Linked DNA regions of Mytilus edulis. The protein of the gene in region 1 interacts with the protein of each later gene in a pairwise test. Links are inferred from orthologs where the notes say so. Each region holds a gene or a part of one and is shown on either strand. Other genes may lie near its edges. The genes, in order: DNA-directed RNA polymerases I and III subunit RPAC1-like and DNA-directed RNA polymerases I and III subunit RPAC2-like.

Region 1 (7,659 bases):
AATAGCAAGAATATGAGAAAACACTTGTTTGAATTTTTGTGTGATTTAATATACTTAGTCAACTAGACCACCAGAGCTTGTGTTTATGTTGTTTATTTACTGATTTTAAATAAAGTCAATTTAATTGAAACATGCTTTGTTTGATTAATTCTAAATGCTTTGGCTAAAGAGGCATCACTAGTGAGATTTGGGGTTTAACCTGCTATTTATTACTTACTTCTGAAAGAAGAATCCTTCTAAATGCATTGGCTAAAGAGGCATCACTAGTGAGATTTAGGGTTTAACCTGCTATTTTTTACTTACTTCTGAAAGAAGAATCCTTCTAAATACATTGGCTGTAGAAGCATAACTCCTAACGTGTCTACACAAGTGTGAGTTTGGGTGTAACTTGCTATATTTTACTTACTTCTGAAAGAAGAATCCTTCTAAATGCATTGGCTATAGAAGCATTACTAGTGTGAGTTTGTAACCTGCTATTTTTTACTTACTTCTGAAAGAAGAATCCTTCTAAATGCATTGGCTATAGAAGCATCTACTCCTACCATATCAAATTCAAGTTCATCATGGCTCATCTTTACCATATCAATTCTGAACTTCTAAAAAAGTATAATTGGTTTACAACTATAACCTTGTTCTAACAAACTACAGTAAAACCTGTATAAACCGGCCGGCTACGGGACTATGAAAAAGGGCCGGTTTGGGCAGTGAGCCGGTTTATTCAGGTTTCCGTATCGACCGGAAGTTAATGACTTGTGACGTCCGATAGTTTGCATATAAAAGTTCTCTTTGATAGTTAAGAATATCTGATCAATTAAAATATTTTCACTTCGTTTTCCATTGTTTACATTTGCATCCTAATGCTCGCGTTGTTTGGATTGTGAGACGAGAGTTTCGATTTACTTCCATGATCATTTATTTGAAATGTTGGAATGGCCGATCAAAAAGCCAGAATATTATCAAACGTAATCTCATCACTATTGAAACGTTGTCGTACAGTTTACTATACCCATTGATTGTTGTCATCTGGGTGGTTTTCATTATCAAGGTCATTTGTTTAGGGGTTCACAGCAGGGAACCCAGGGTTTCGACATCACGTTGTAAATTTCTTATGCTGCGATTTAAATTTGTTTATCCAAGTTAACGTTACAAAACGTAAGTTAAATCCGAGATATATTCGGTGTGTCTTGTCGTTTAATTGACACGTTTATAATGTTTTAATAAATAATACAGCTCACTACTGTACGATTGAAAGTTCACTTCACAGTTTAACACCTGACTAATTGATTAATTATCCTGAAAAGTCATATTGTATAAAGTAAACAATTATGTTTTGATTGCATATCGATCAGTGAAATTAATTAGACAAACCGGTTTTGACAGGTAATAATTAATGTAATTAAGAGTATTGGGACTTCATAATTAGACCGGAATTCGGAATACACAGGGTCCGGTTTACAAAGGGTATTTTAACAAAGACTTTGAAGGAAAAAAAATGGGACTTTCATTTTCGGCCGGAATGTACAGGAAGCCGGTTTATTCAGGGTCCGGTTTAATCAGGTTTGACTGTACATGTAAAATGCATTGTTTCATTAGTTTAATGTCTTTGCTTTACTATAATTTACTTCTTTTTTTTTTTAAATACTTTGCAACTTATATTTGTTGCTTGTTTTTAATTTTACGGTGTACTGTTATTCCACTGTCCAAGTTTAGTGGTGGGTTGGCGCCTTAAAACTAGTTCAACTTTAACTGCCACATTGTATGTGCCTGTCCCAAACTGTAATTAAGTGGTTGATGTTTTTTGCTAAATATCATATTTGTATTTCATTATTATTTTGTAAATAAATCAGGCAGTAAGTTGTCTCTTTGGAATTGCATTACATTAGTCATTTTGAGGCTTTTTATAGCTGACTATGAGGTGTGGGTTTCAATTATTGTTGAAGGCCGGACAGTAACCTATACAAATCTTACCTTTTCAAATTTTTTCTGACTCCAAGAGTCATCATAATCTTCATAATTTCCAGGAAAGTCAGAGCTATGTGTCTACAAATATAATTCATGAGTTATGTTTTTATTACATATTTAGAATAAGTATCTTAACATAAATTACACACCCACAACCTATCAGGTCTGTGACTGAATTTATTTTGAGTATTCATATGGTCATTAACTCATTTGATAAAGTCATGCTGATTATAAAGGTGCACACAGTTTTCTCTGCTTTCAAAATCTTTGTTTGAACCTGTCCTGGTTTTCTTACTACAACCAGAGACTACTTGTAGTTATATATTTTTTGGCCGATGATTGAATTTCATAGTGTTATTCCCTGTATAATGACAAAGTTCAGGTGTGATTATGACTTGTGTACAATGTATATAGCGAATTTTAATTCCAAATACACCATTTATTCAACAAATTATGGTCATTTGCATAAATCATCACTGTTTTCTCGTAGTCACGTGATAATCTTTGAAAATGAAAGGCAAATGGAAAAATCGATGGGTCTCTGTGAAAACTGTTAAAATATGGAAAAATAAAAGTTGGCAGGTAGGTGAAACTTACATAAATGAAAAGATAAATGAAAAATGAACAGATTGATGCCTGATTTATTTAATTCCAAGGCCGTCAGTCGGCACCAGAAGCGACGAAGCAGCGCATCTATTTTGGGTGGGCAAATATCCACTTTTTGATATGGGACGAGCTCTGACGTCCCACGGCCCCAGCTTGTCTGACAAAACAGCCGTTGGACCTCAGAGTAATCTCGGACTAGATGAACGTGAATAGTGCAGGGATACAGGCGACCCCTCTATCAGATTATTATATCTGGTAAATGACCTCATAAAGACACGTATAATTGACGAGTTTTATCCAGTGACGGATGAACTCGAAAGTGGTCTATTGTTTCAACATATATTATAAGCTTTAGGAACAGGATCAGGACATGTATCTTTTCCTCTTTTTATACAGAAATTATAAGACTCAAAATTAACCAGAAGCTTACAACCTTTACTATAGTATACTAGTTCCATATAAATGCTGAAAAAACATACATTTTCTACAGCATGCTCCCGTAGAGTAACTTTCCTCCTGACGTCATCTATTAGGTCTGTCATGTCAGACTTGGGTATTTTTTCTAAGCTACATGCATGTTTGTAAACAGCTCCATGTGCTGGTCCTCCTTTATAAAGATCATCTGAACGCTTTGAAGCAACGTAAAACTCCTTGGTGCAAAACGTTCTCCTGACGTTGAATGTGGGAGGTTAATCATTTCCGGTATACGAAATTATTCAGAAATGGTAACACAGCCTCTTTTTATTATATTTTAAGGCATTTATTCATGATTGAACACACATTATTTGGCCGTAACACTTTCTCAGTTGATAATAACTTGCAATAGTGCTAGGTGTATTCGGAGTTGAGATCCACATTTTGATCTGAGTGTTGTTGACACTGTCACTTTTGACAGCAATGCTAAAAAAATTTGAATGTATAACTTACAATACAATTTCTGAGTGGTGGAATTTAATATTTTGTGGGAGTTCTTGGCCTATTGATGCTTTTCCTCTGCTTCTTCTTAAAAAAAACGGGAGTCGTTACTTTCTGCAGAAAGTCTGAAAGAATAAAGTTCTAACTTCTGTTGCCCGGGCTACTTCTGTCTGACAGGCGCACACAGTTTTAACCCTCTTGCTGCCGGGGGGACACATGTGTCCACACCGACTGTGCTGGAGGGACACATATGTCCATGTTTTAACTTATGCTAGCTTCTCATCATTACTGTACCTCTTTCAAAATAAAAGACTGAAACTTAAAAAGTGTAATATGTTTCTACAATGACTCTCAAATGTAACGGTCATTACAGCATGACATCATATATCAAATGACATCATTGTTTGGCATGTCACATTGTCGAGCGGTCATATTTTCTGGCATATGAATGCAACCCTGAAAAACATCTGGCAGCAAAAGGGTTAAGTAAGTTATGTTAGTGCATAAAAGGTAGCACAATACAAAGATTTTTCATCCCCAATCAGACATCTTTAAACTGATGTAATTCCACTCATCTTTCTTTAAATGTTATAAATGAGGTACCAAAAGAAAGAAGAAGGATTATTCTTTCAAATTGTGATAATTTCATTAAGACATATCTTCATAGCATCCTAAAAAAAATTATAGATTCTTGCACAACACAGTTTGACCTCCAAAACTGTGTCTCAGATTTTTCCTATTGTATTTCATTCTCTCATAAATCTTCAATGAAGTTTGCAACATCAATTCATTAGAGACCACTTAGTTCAATTGAGTATAAAATTTGTTCTATTGATGATTTTGGAAATCTGAGACACAGTTTTGGAGGTCAAGCTGTGTTGTACAAGAATCTATAAAATATTTTGGGATGCTATGAAAAACAAAGACGCTAAATTCATTCAAGTGTGGACATCAAAATATAGCGACTAATTACATAATAATTAATTATGTAATAGTTATGTCATAATGAAATTATCACAATTTGAAAGATTGATCTTTCTTCTTTCTTTTGGTACTTCATTTATAAAATATAAAGAAGGATGAAATGAATTACATCAGTTTAAAGTTGTCTGATTGGGAGTGAAAAAATCTTTGTATTGTGCTACCTTAAATTGGTATCTGTCTGTTCACTTACAAACACATTCAGACCCTACATGTGCGCTAATTGAGCCTTGGGTCTGTTACACCAAATTCATGTCGCACATTTACTGGTTGGATAGACCACTTTCAAGTTATGTCCACCACTTGAAAAAATCATCAATTATGCACACCATTTTGACGATTGCTGAAATTTAACATATTAAAAGGACATGTTACATGTACATGTATGTACCTATATATTTTGAAGCTGTATTTTAGAGTTATGTGTATTCTGAATTATTCAAGAGGCAATTTCACAAAGGCACAGGGAATCTATGACATCTGACTTCCACTTCAAAGGTTCATAAGATACTTTTATCTTTACTGGTCTTGTGAAAAATAACACCAGGATGTTGACCAATGTCCAGCAGTCTGCTCAAGTAATTTAATGAAGCTATTATATTAAACTTTTGCTGCTATTTAACTTTATGGTATTAACTGTAAATTTACAATACATTTTTTCTAGATTCGTTTTATCCTGATACAGAACCGGGCTGGCAAAACGCGTCTGGCTAAGTGGTATATGCACTTTGATGATGATGAAAAACAGAAACTAATTGAAGAAGTGCATGCTGTTGTTACTGTCCGTGATGCTAAACACACTAATTTTGTAGAGGTACATTGTATGCTGTGTGATACTAGCACATGTACAATACCCATCATATGAATAAACAAACAATTATTTTTGAAGGGTCTCTTGTACTAAAAGATCAGTGTGATGCAATATAATTCTTGAAAAACAATGGACACAGTAAGTTTCAAGTGGTGTATCTTAAAAATGCTGAAACATCAACTTGAAACTTAGCACTTATTACCAGTTGAAATACATGAAAAACATCACCACAAGTTACTAAATGACACAGAAATTAACAACTATCATGACTATTCAACATTGATTGCCCATACTGGGAAGTCAGCCATAAAAGACCCTGAAATGACAAATGTAAAAAAAATTAAAGAAGAAAACTAAAGGCCAAAATGAATGTACAAAATAATGAATGCTTACCTGTAGTTTATGTTCAAGCAATCCAAAGATTGTTTTTTTTTTGTATTTTAAAGGGTTATTTGTAATAGATATACCTGTGTATAATAATATGTAATTTTTTTTGCAGTTTAGGAATTTTAAGATTGTGTACAGAAGATATGCTGGTTTATATTTCTGTATCTGTGTTGATGTAAACGACAACAATCTTGCATACTTAGAGGCAATACACAATTTTGTAGAAGTGCTTAATGAATATTTCCATAATGTCTGTGAATTAGATCTTGTATTCAACTTTTATAAGGTAAAGTATTTATATTGTGTCTCAACATAAAACCTTTATTTTGTGTTCATAATTATACAAGTTGAATAAAAGGATCTTAATAGATATATGAATGACAGTATTCCTTTTGAAGTTGGTGGTTTTCTCTTGGGTCCCGGCTTCCTCAACCAATAAAGCTTGTCACCATGACTTAGCCAAGTGTGCTGTAAGTGATATTAAAGACCAACAATCAATCTATCAATCTTATAAAATTCATGATGTTGTAACTGACAGAACAAGTCATGCAATTACAGAATTTCCATTAAGAAGTTTTAACTATTTATTTTCTATATTATGTGTCCTCTTTGTTGAGCCTCAACATTTTAAGTAATTGGTTTCTATGGTTTTCATACAATTTATAAGGGTCTGTACAGTGAAATCAGGAAAACAAATGTTCTAATCTATCATATCTTTATAGAAAAAAAAGAAGAAAAAAAAACCAACAACAAAAAGCAAGAAAGGAGAAAAACTTATGAACCATATCAACAAACGACAACCACTGAACAACAGGTTCCTGACTTAGGACAGGTGCAAACAAATGCTGCAGTTTAAATGTTTTAAAATCCCAGTTTGTCAACCATATTGAGGCCCTGTCCTAGGTCATGGTCCTGCAGCTTTGATTTAATAAGATTGTAGCTATCTATAAGATTATTCCTGAATTTTCTGCTGACAGACAAGACATATCTTTGTGTCAACAGTTTATTTAATGGGAAACTTCGATCTTCAGTTATATTTATTTTGTTTTATTTTTAGGTTTACAGTGTAGTGGATGAGATGTTTTTAGCAGGAGAAATTCGAGAGACAAGTCAAACAAAAGTTTTAAAACAACTTCTTATGTTATCATCATTAGAGTAAATACTATGTTATAGGACTTAATAGACCAAAGTGTTGTAGACAGATGTCATTTATTGTGTATGATTTTATTACTATGAACTTTGTTGGTTATTTTTAACAGAAATGTTACAATAATTGGCTATTTAGATAAAGATGTCATAATCCATATGTAAAACAACAAGTAATGTTTCTGAGGACAGTATCTGATTGCAAGGTGATTTTTGCCTAAAAAAAACAGAAAAAAGCTAGAAGTGATTAGAGTGGAAAGTGTAGAACTTTTTTTATTTCGTTGTATTATATAAAAGTTATCATTATATTATCAAAATGTTGTTTTGTTGAGACATGAAAATAATGAGAACGTTAATAGATATTGTTCATATGAATGATACATTCCAAATTCACCTAGTTATTGTTAATGTAAATACATGATATTATTGCATCCTCCAGCATGTTTTCGTGTTTCATGGTTACTGGAGAACTACATATATATATATATATATACAACTCGTCTAAACATCAACCCAACAATGTTAGATCGGTTAATTTGCTTTTGCAAATTTTTTTATCATCCCTCGCCGGGATTTGAACCCATGCTACTGAGATATCGTGTAGAGTTGTCACTGACTCAGACGTACTTATATATATATACCTATCAGAAAGGGAAGGAAATTTAGATATACAAAATCTAATTGCAGCTAAGAAAAATTATTATAATAGCATTTTGGTAAGACCCTAATGAAACTGAAGAGGCCTCTGGATCAGTTGCATAGATGAGGAGGTGTAGGAAGGGTCCTGATCCCAAAATCCTGGGCTTCAAAAACATGAAATCCAGAGGTCCCGAATTTAAATAAATTTTAAT
Region 2 (7,888 bases), on another chromosome or scaffold:
GGGACTTTTTTATACAGCTAATTCATACCATAACTTCTGTTTCTCAACCAACATTCACTTGGGATAGTTTTGTAAATTTAACAGGGTTAATTTCCAGTTCACATTTTCAAATCTGATAAGATAAATTACTATTTCTTTTTGTAGATGAATTTTTCCTGTTTTGTAGCCTGTCCCAAGACAGGAGCTTGTAATTCAGTGGTTGTCTGTTGTTGCTGTGTTACATATTTGTTTTTGGTTCATTTTAATTGCACATTAATTACCGGTAGGCTGTTAGTTTTCTTGTTTAAATTGTTTTACATTTGTGATTTCAGGGCCTATTAAAGCTGATTATGTGGTATGGGTTCTGCTCATTGTTGAAGGTCATCCAGGTGACCTATAGTTGTTAATTATCTTGTGGAGAGTTGTCTCATTAGCAATCATGCTACATATTCTTTTTTATATTTAAGTTTCCATGAAAAATGCAAACATAAGCAGCAATCTCAAGAAAATGGCTGTACCAAGTGAGGAATTAGTCCAAATAATTATGACATTTTGAAAGACTATTATATTTTTTTTCTTTGACGCCTTACATCGATGTCAAAGCAAAAATTTAAATGGCCTTCCAAGACATCATAATTATTTGGACTTGTGATCAAGGATCTGTTATCCAATATTTAAGTTAATTGATACAGTTTAGTGTTTGGTTTTGTTAGGTTTTTATTCATCATCACCTTTTTTTTAATTTACCTTGGAGTTCCATATTCTGGATATTACAATTTTAAGAACTATTATTGCCAGGAACATGAGTGAGTCACATGCAACAGACTTATACTGTGGATTCATTAATATATGTTTTATACCAAATTGTGGATTTCGTGGGGACAGCATGTTCAGTCATACAGTGGAACCACAAACTTAAATGTTCAACAGATAACAAATTTTCTTAAGGAATGTATGCAGACTTTTATTTAGGGGCCAGCTGAAGGACGCCTCCAGGTGCGGGAATTTCTTGCTGCATTGAAGACCTGTTGGTGACCTTCTGCTGTTGTCTGTTCTTTGGTTGGGTTGTTGTCTCTTTGACACATTCCCCATTTCCATTTTCAATTTCATTTGCCATAACCACTAAATTAGATATCCACGAATATGCAAGTTTTTCTCAAGCCACCAAAAATTGGTACCCACGAATATAAATTCACAGTTAATGAAGTGCTTATACAACAAACCTGGGCATACGTTCTGTTAAAAACTACTGATTGACTTGCAAGGAGGTCAATATTTGGAGTGATCAAAGGTTCATATCCATAGCAACCAAGAGATGGTCTAAGATCATCTGCTACTATCAACAGAACATTCAGTTTCCCTGAAAAAAGTAAACAAAATATTTTTTTACTTGATCATAATTCTTTAATTTTGATAATTTAATTTGATAGATTACATAGATATAGGAAGATGTGGTGTGAGTGCCAATGAGACAACTCTCCATCCAAATAACAATTTAAAAAGTAAACCATTATAGGTTAAAGTACGGCCTTCAACACGGAGCCTTGGCTCACACCGAACAACAAGCTATAAAGGGCCCCAAAATTACTAGTGTAAAACCATTCAAACGGGAACACCAACGGTCTAATCTATATAAACAAAACGAGAAACGAGTACATCCCCTTTTAAGCCATCTTATCTTTATTTATTTATTGTTCTTCAATACTGTTTGTACAAGAAGGCCTAGTCTTATCAATCCCCAACACTGTATCATTATGCATATTATTATTACAGGTTATGTAATGTACTGTTGGGTTGATCTTTCTCTTGTATTTGCCTATCTTTACTTATACAGTCTTTTTCCTCCTATCTTCCACCTCAAGTTCTGGTTCTCAGATCACAACTTGCCTTCTGATTCATGCTAAATGCTTTATCAGAGTTACCATTGCATTGGTGTTTATGACAGATCTTTGGTAGTTCCTTTTTAAATTACACATCACTATTTAGAGTTTGACATACACGATGCACAAACAAGTCTTGTGTACTACGAGAAGACTTTTTTCACCATAAGTTGTGTAGTCTTGCTACAGTTGTGTTGCTTGGTTGTTTTTCTCATTTACAAATATAATTATACATCTACTTTATATAATTGAGATAGAAAATGGGGAATATGTCAAAGAGACAACAACCCGACCAAAGAGCAGATATTAGCTTAAGGCCCCCAACAGGTCTTCAACACAGTGAGAAAATCCTCCACTGGAGGTGGTCCTCATCTGGTTCCTTAACAAAAATTATTTTTTACCAGTGCAGTACTGAAATATATGAACTATTAATTCTAAATAAAAACTAATTACCTTTAGAAATAGTCACTAGAACCAGCAGGAACAGTAATCCATGACATATATTCATCATTCAATATTCAACAACTGTCATGACTGTACTTCTTCATTCCTACAAACACCCACCAATAGTAAAATAAACACATGATTATAATAGCTTGATAACTATACAGATATTCTATAAAGAGTATGAAGAGCATAAAAATACAAAAACTCTTTTATCTCCCCAGAGTTTAACAAAATGTATAATATATGTCAAAATTTAAGTCCAAATGTTAATGACATATAAAGTTTTGCTTTTTTGCATAAATCAATCATTTGCCAAAGCTACTTGGGGACAGGACTTATTTTTTATTTTAGAGAAATCTTTTTTTCTTTCTTTCTATAAACATGATACATAGTTTAATGGGTTACAAAGATATAAATCTCCTCCAGATTATTGGAAAAACCTTGGAAATTCCAAATCAAGATCAACAGACCAAAAAAATGTTGGAAAACACATAATAATGGAAAAACTAAGTCATCTTCCAGCAAACTCATGTATAGCATTTACTGATGGGTCCTGTCTTGGCAGTCCTGGCCCTGTAGGAGCAGGTGCTGTCATTTTTCCATCAAATAATCAACAACAAATTGAAATTAGTAAAGCTGTATCCAAGAAAGGATCAATACTACTCGGAGAACTGATCGCCATTAAACTTGTTGTTGACCACTTTTTAATATCAGAAAACAGACAAAACACAGACTCAATTACACTTTTTTCAGATAGTCAGACCTCAATTGGAATTTTAACTTTAAACTGGAAATCAGAAAATTACATCAAAGTCATAAGAGAAATTAAGAAAAACATGAAAGTATTAAAGATGAATGGAATTCCATTAAATTTTGAATGGACACCTGGTCATGCTGATATCCAAGGAAATGACATTGCTGATTCACTGGCCAAAAAAGGAGCTAAAGAAGCTGAAAAAATAGAAGAACCATCAGAAGTAACCAGGCAGGATATAAAACGTTCAGCAAGAGAAAGTGTTTTAAGAAAATGGCAGAACCAATGGGAATCAAGTCAATGTGGCAGAAATTATTATAACTATCATCAAAAAGTTTGTCAAAAAATACCAAAAGATTTACCATCCAAATGGTCGTTTTCAATTATTACTAGTTTGAGAACAGGTTATTGTGATCTAAATGATTATAAATCTAAAATCATACCATCATCAGACAAAAACTGTTCCTGTGGAGAGCCAGAAACTGTAGAACACTACCTTTTACATTGTTCTAACTATGAGGAGGCTAGAGAGAGGATGAGAACATCTATTTACTTTATAACAGGAAATATACGCATGGATTTAGACACCTTACTAGGAATTGATGAAGAAGACATTAATAGAGACAATCGAAATGAGATATTGTGCCATCTGGAAAATTATTTAACGGAGTCTGGTAGATTCAAAAACACTATACAGCAAAAAACACTATAATTCTAAATCAAAATTAAGTCAAAATTTGTTAAGCAGCAGCGGCCACCATTTCAATTAAGTACATGAGTGAAAATTACATATGTGAAAAAACTACAAAAGAGGAAACGTACACATTTGGGACACTTACTAAAGACTAAAGACTAAATGTTTTTCTGCATAATGCAATCATAAAGATCTTGAATTGCTACTTACTCAGTTACTGCCTATAATCATGATAATTTAACTATTTACAGCGGTCTAGTGAGTGAGTGAAGTTAGTTCAAATAATTATGACATCTTTTATAAAAAGCTATTATACTTATTTTCTTTAAAAGGCGTTGAAGCAAAAAATTAAGATAGCCTTGCAAGAAGTCATAATTATTTGGACTACAGCGGTCTGTGTAATGACACTGATACAAAACAAAAAGATAAAAGATTTTGGAAAAAAAGGTGGAGGGCTAAACAAATTGTTCTGTCCAGTGTTCCTAAGTGTCTTCTGCAAGAATTGTGTAAAATTTATAAAATTCACCTTTACTAAATTTTATATGTATCTTGTCAGTAAATTAGAAAAGATTATTATGTATCTTTAAATACTCTTAGATGTTTACTTCATCAGACTGCAAGTGCAGTCCACATGTTGAAGTGGGATTATTATACTTATATATATTATCAATATACTATTTCCAAAATAGCTTGAAACTAATATAATTGTCCCAGATAGAAGCATTGAAGATCATTGAACTGTTAATCAAGTGTGTAATATAAAGTGAAAGTACATACCCGTATTTGTTTCTAAAATTATATATTTGTAAACCGGAAACTACTTGTTTCGTTTTGTATGCAGCATGTCTAAGAAAGAAAAAGATGCCACTAAAACTCCTGTTGAAGTCGGTAGTCATCGTCTCGAAGTTGTAAGCTATTTCTTAATCACTTAACAATACCCTTTTCTCTCTAATTTTAAAACTTAATAAACAGAGAGCATTATTCTGAGGAGAAATTGTCTTCTCCCAAACTCAGGACCTCTGTCACAGGTACTTCACTATACTTGTTTCTATCCATTGGAAGGTCGACTATCAATATAAAGATTCTATTTATATGGATAGCCGACCTTCCTTTGGCTATGGATAGAAACAAGTGCCTGTGACCTCTGTAACTTGACAGCACATTATACACCTTATCGCTTATCCCGGCTGACCCGGCCGCTTGAACTTTTGACGTCAACAACAATCACTTTTCCATTGTTGCGTCAGATATTTTGTTTTATGACGTCTAATTTTTACGGGAACCTGTGTGATATCTAGTAATGGCAGACATATAGCGATAAGGAACTCACTAGTCCGAGATTACTCTGACGTCCAATGGTTGTTTTGCCAGAAAAGATAGGGCCCCAGCTTGTCTGGCAAAACAGCAGTTGGATGTCAGAGTAATCTAAACTAAACTCACAGGCACTTGTTTTTATCCATAGCTAAAGGAAGGTCGGCTATCCATATAAATAGAAGCTTTATATTGATAGTCAACCTTCCTATGGATAGAAACAAGTGCCTGTGATCCACGACTAGAGCCTAGAGCAGTGGAGCACATACACTTGTTTGTTTCTATCCATACATGAATATATATAGGAAGGTTCACTATCCATATAAATTATAAGCTTCTTCCTTTCTCTATCATATGTGGATAGAAACAAATGCCTGGTGACTGTGCACAGGCTACCGGAGTCGAAATAATAATGATGTCTTGAAAGGCTATTTATTTACTTTCTGTGGCGCCCAAAGGGCCCAATGTGAGCTTATATGCCATCACTTGCTGTTCGTCATCGTCTGTCGTCATGAACTATTTAAAAAATCTTCTCCTCTGAAACTACTTGATCAAATACCTTCAAACTTTAACTTAATATTTCTTAAGGTATCTAGTTTATAAATTGTATCTTAAGTTTTGATCCATCTTCAAAAATGGCCACCATGGCTAAAAATAGAACATAGTGGTCAAATGGCATTATGCAGTTTTTGACTTATATCTCAATAACTGAAGCTTTAAAAGCAAATCTGACTTGGGTTTAATCGGCCATGAAATAATAAGACAATTCCAACAACTCATTGTTGGGTTGCTGCCACCTTTTTGTTAGTTTTAACAAAATTTTACAGTTTTTTGTTATTATCTCGAATATTATAATGGATAGATGTAAACTGTAAGCAGCAATATTGTTCAGCAAAGTAAGATCTACAAAAAAATTAAATGACCAAGATTGTCAATTGACCCCTTTAGGAGTTATATTGCCCTTTAAAGACAATTTTACACAATTTGTTCATCAAGTTTACTAACATTTAAAAATCTTCACCTCTGAAATAGAGGTGAGCAATTCAGCCTCATGTTGCATATATTCAAGACTATAAATGCTGAAAATTGTTTCCAGACAGGAACTCAATATATTTTTATTGTTACATTTTATTTTTGTACAAGTTTTACATTTACAAGTTATGTAATATTTTGTGTGTAGCATTGGACAATGTTGGAATACTTTGTACTACATGTATATATCTTCTTCCTATTGTTCTGAATTTATGAAGTTTAATCCTCTTGCTGCCAAAGGTACATTTATGGCTTCTACCATTGTCTACACACAAAAATTGTTGATTGTCAAGGTGTCAATGAATGTTGTCTCAGTTTGTTAAGAATATGTATTCTGGGCAAATGAAAAAATTGTGAACAGGAAATTCTTTTAACAAACAAGTACAAAATGAAGTATCTTCATGATCTATTAAAAAAAAATATGAACTAATATCACTCATGAATCCCTTTGTGGGAACTTTAACATTAGTATAACCAAGAAGTTCATTCTATTTTTACTGTAGATAGAAACACCAGGAGAAGAAGACGAAACATGTAAAACATTTGTATTCCATAACGAAGACCACACACTGGGAAATTCTCTACGTTATATTATAATGAAAAAGTGAGTACTCTGAGAAATAATGAAGATTATGATAATAACAAAATTAATAGATGTACATTGTTTTGGTAAAGCTTTTTAACTACAGATTTTCCTCTGGTTTTATTTAGTTGTTGGTTTGATGTTTTATCATGTATATTGAAAGTTAAACTTATTTTTCCATTTTATCATATTTTTATGGTAGGGATTAGATTAAAACACAGTACGTCCTCTAATTGTAGTTATTGGCCTTAAAAATTTATCTGAAGGTCAACAGAAAAAAAGTCTTGACATCAAGGAAAATTTAAGTATCATTTTCTAATCAGTCATAATATTTAGACATATTTTCTTCTAACTTAATAAGCTTGATAACTATGATTATGGTATGGGTATTATTTTTTTCATAACTTTCTATATTTGATAATGATATGGTTTTGTTTTTGTAGTCCTGATGTAAAGTTTTGTGGCTACAGTGTTCCCCATCCCTCGGAACTTAAAATCAACTTCCGTGTTCAGACCTATGGTGAGTATTTATAATATTCATGTAATAAAGTATGTGAAATTTCATCTCTCAATAGAAATTTGTTGCATATTTTCTCAACTCATTTCAACCATGTTTCTTGGTTATAAGAAACAGTTCTGTAATCATATTTTTTTGTGATTCATAAAAACAAATTTTCGCAGCTGAATATAAATATCACTGGAATCTCATGTTGGTCAATGAAAATACAAAGCGGACACAATAAGTCAGAATGGTGGATAATCTAATTTGTTTTTCCAAAGTTCTTTATATTTTATAGGTTAAATGAATAGATAATATAAATTACTTTGACATTGATGAAGAGAAGTCAGAAATCCCATCAATATTGACATACTGTAGATACATAATTTTTTGTGGCATACAATTTTATGGAATGACAGATTTCATTGGTATAGAAGAACTAGGAATTCAAATCCTCAGTGTATAAGAAATGTGCTATAGAAATATATGCAGAATTTGGTGAACCACAAACAAGACAAAATTAAAAATCTTCAAAAATACAAATTTTCCTCAATCCACAAAAAATTGATGACTTCTCAGTAGATTGAATCAAATATGATTTCCTGTTCCAACTGCAAGATAAGTTTCTTTAAGTTTCATGAAAATATAAAAACAGAATTGCTATGAACATGCTTTTTAACCAGATTTTTATGACAAAAATGTTGGTTAT

What was found.
Region 2: the proteins of DNA-directed RNA polymerases I and III subunit RPAC1-like (region 1) and DNA-directed RNA polymerases I and III subunit RPAC2-like interact in a two-hybrid assay, tested with the Drosophila melanogaster proteins (2 studies listed by BioGRID). The link is inferred for Mytilus edulis from reciprocal best matches to the Drosophila melanogaster genes Polr1C and Polr1D.

What each region holds. Positions count from the first base shown.
Region 1 is NC_092346.1:91,463,744-91,471,402, forward strand, and holds the start of DNA-directed RNA polymerases I and III subunit RPAC1-like, read right to left. Parts: upstream 3,208-7,659; 5' UTR 3,111-3,207; coding exon 3,048-3,110; intron 2,041-3,047; coding exon 1,969-2,040; intron 597-1,968; coding exon 489-596; intron 1-488. Other genes in the region: AP-2 complex subunit sigma, read left to right, coding at 3,291-3,293, 5,129-5,278, 5,775-5,948, 6,720-6,821.
Region 2 is NC_092351.1:1,777,311-1,785,198, forward strand, and holds the start of DNA-directed RNA polymerases I and III subunit RPAC2-like, read left to right. Parts: upstream 1-4,528; 5' UTR 4,529-4,596; coding exon 4,597-4,662; intron 4,663-6,600; coding exon 6,601-6,701; intron 6,702-7,123; coding exon 7,124-7,200; intron 7,201-7,888. Other genes in the region: iduronate 2-sulfatase-like, read right to left, coding at 1,203-1,339, 2,313-2,370; uncharacterized protein, read left to right, coding at 2,804-3,772. UniProt on the Drosophila melanogaster protein: DNA-dependent RNA polymerase catalyzes the transcription of DNA into RNA using the four ribonucleoside triphosphates as substrates.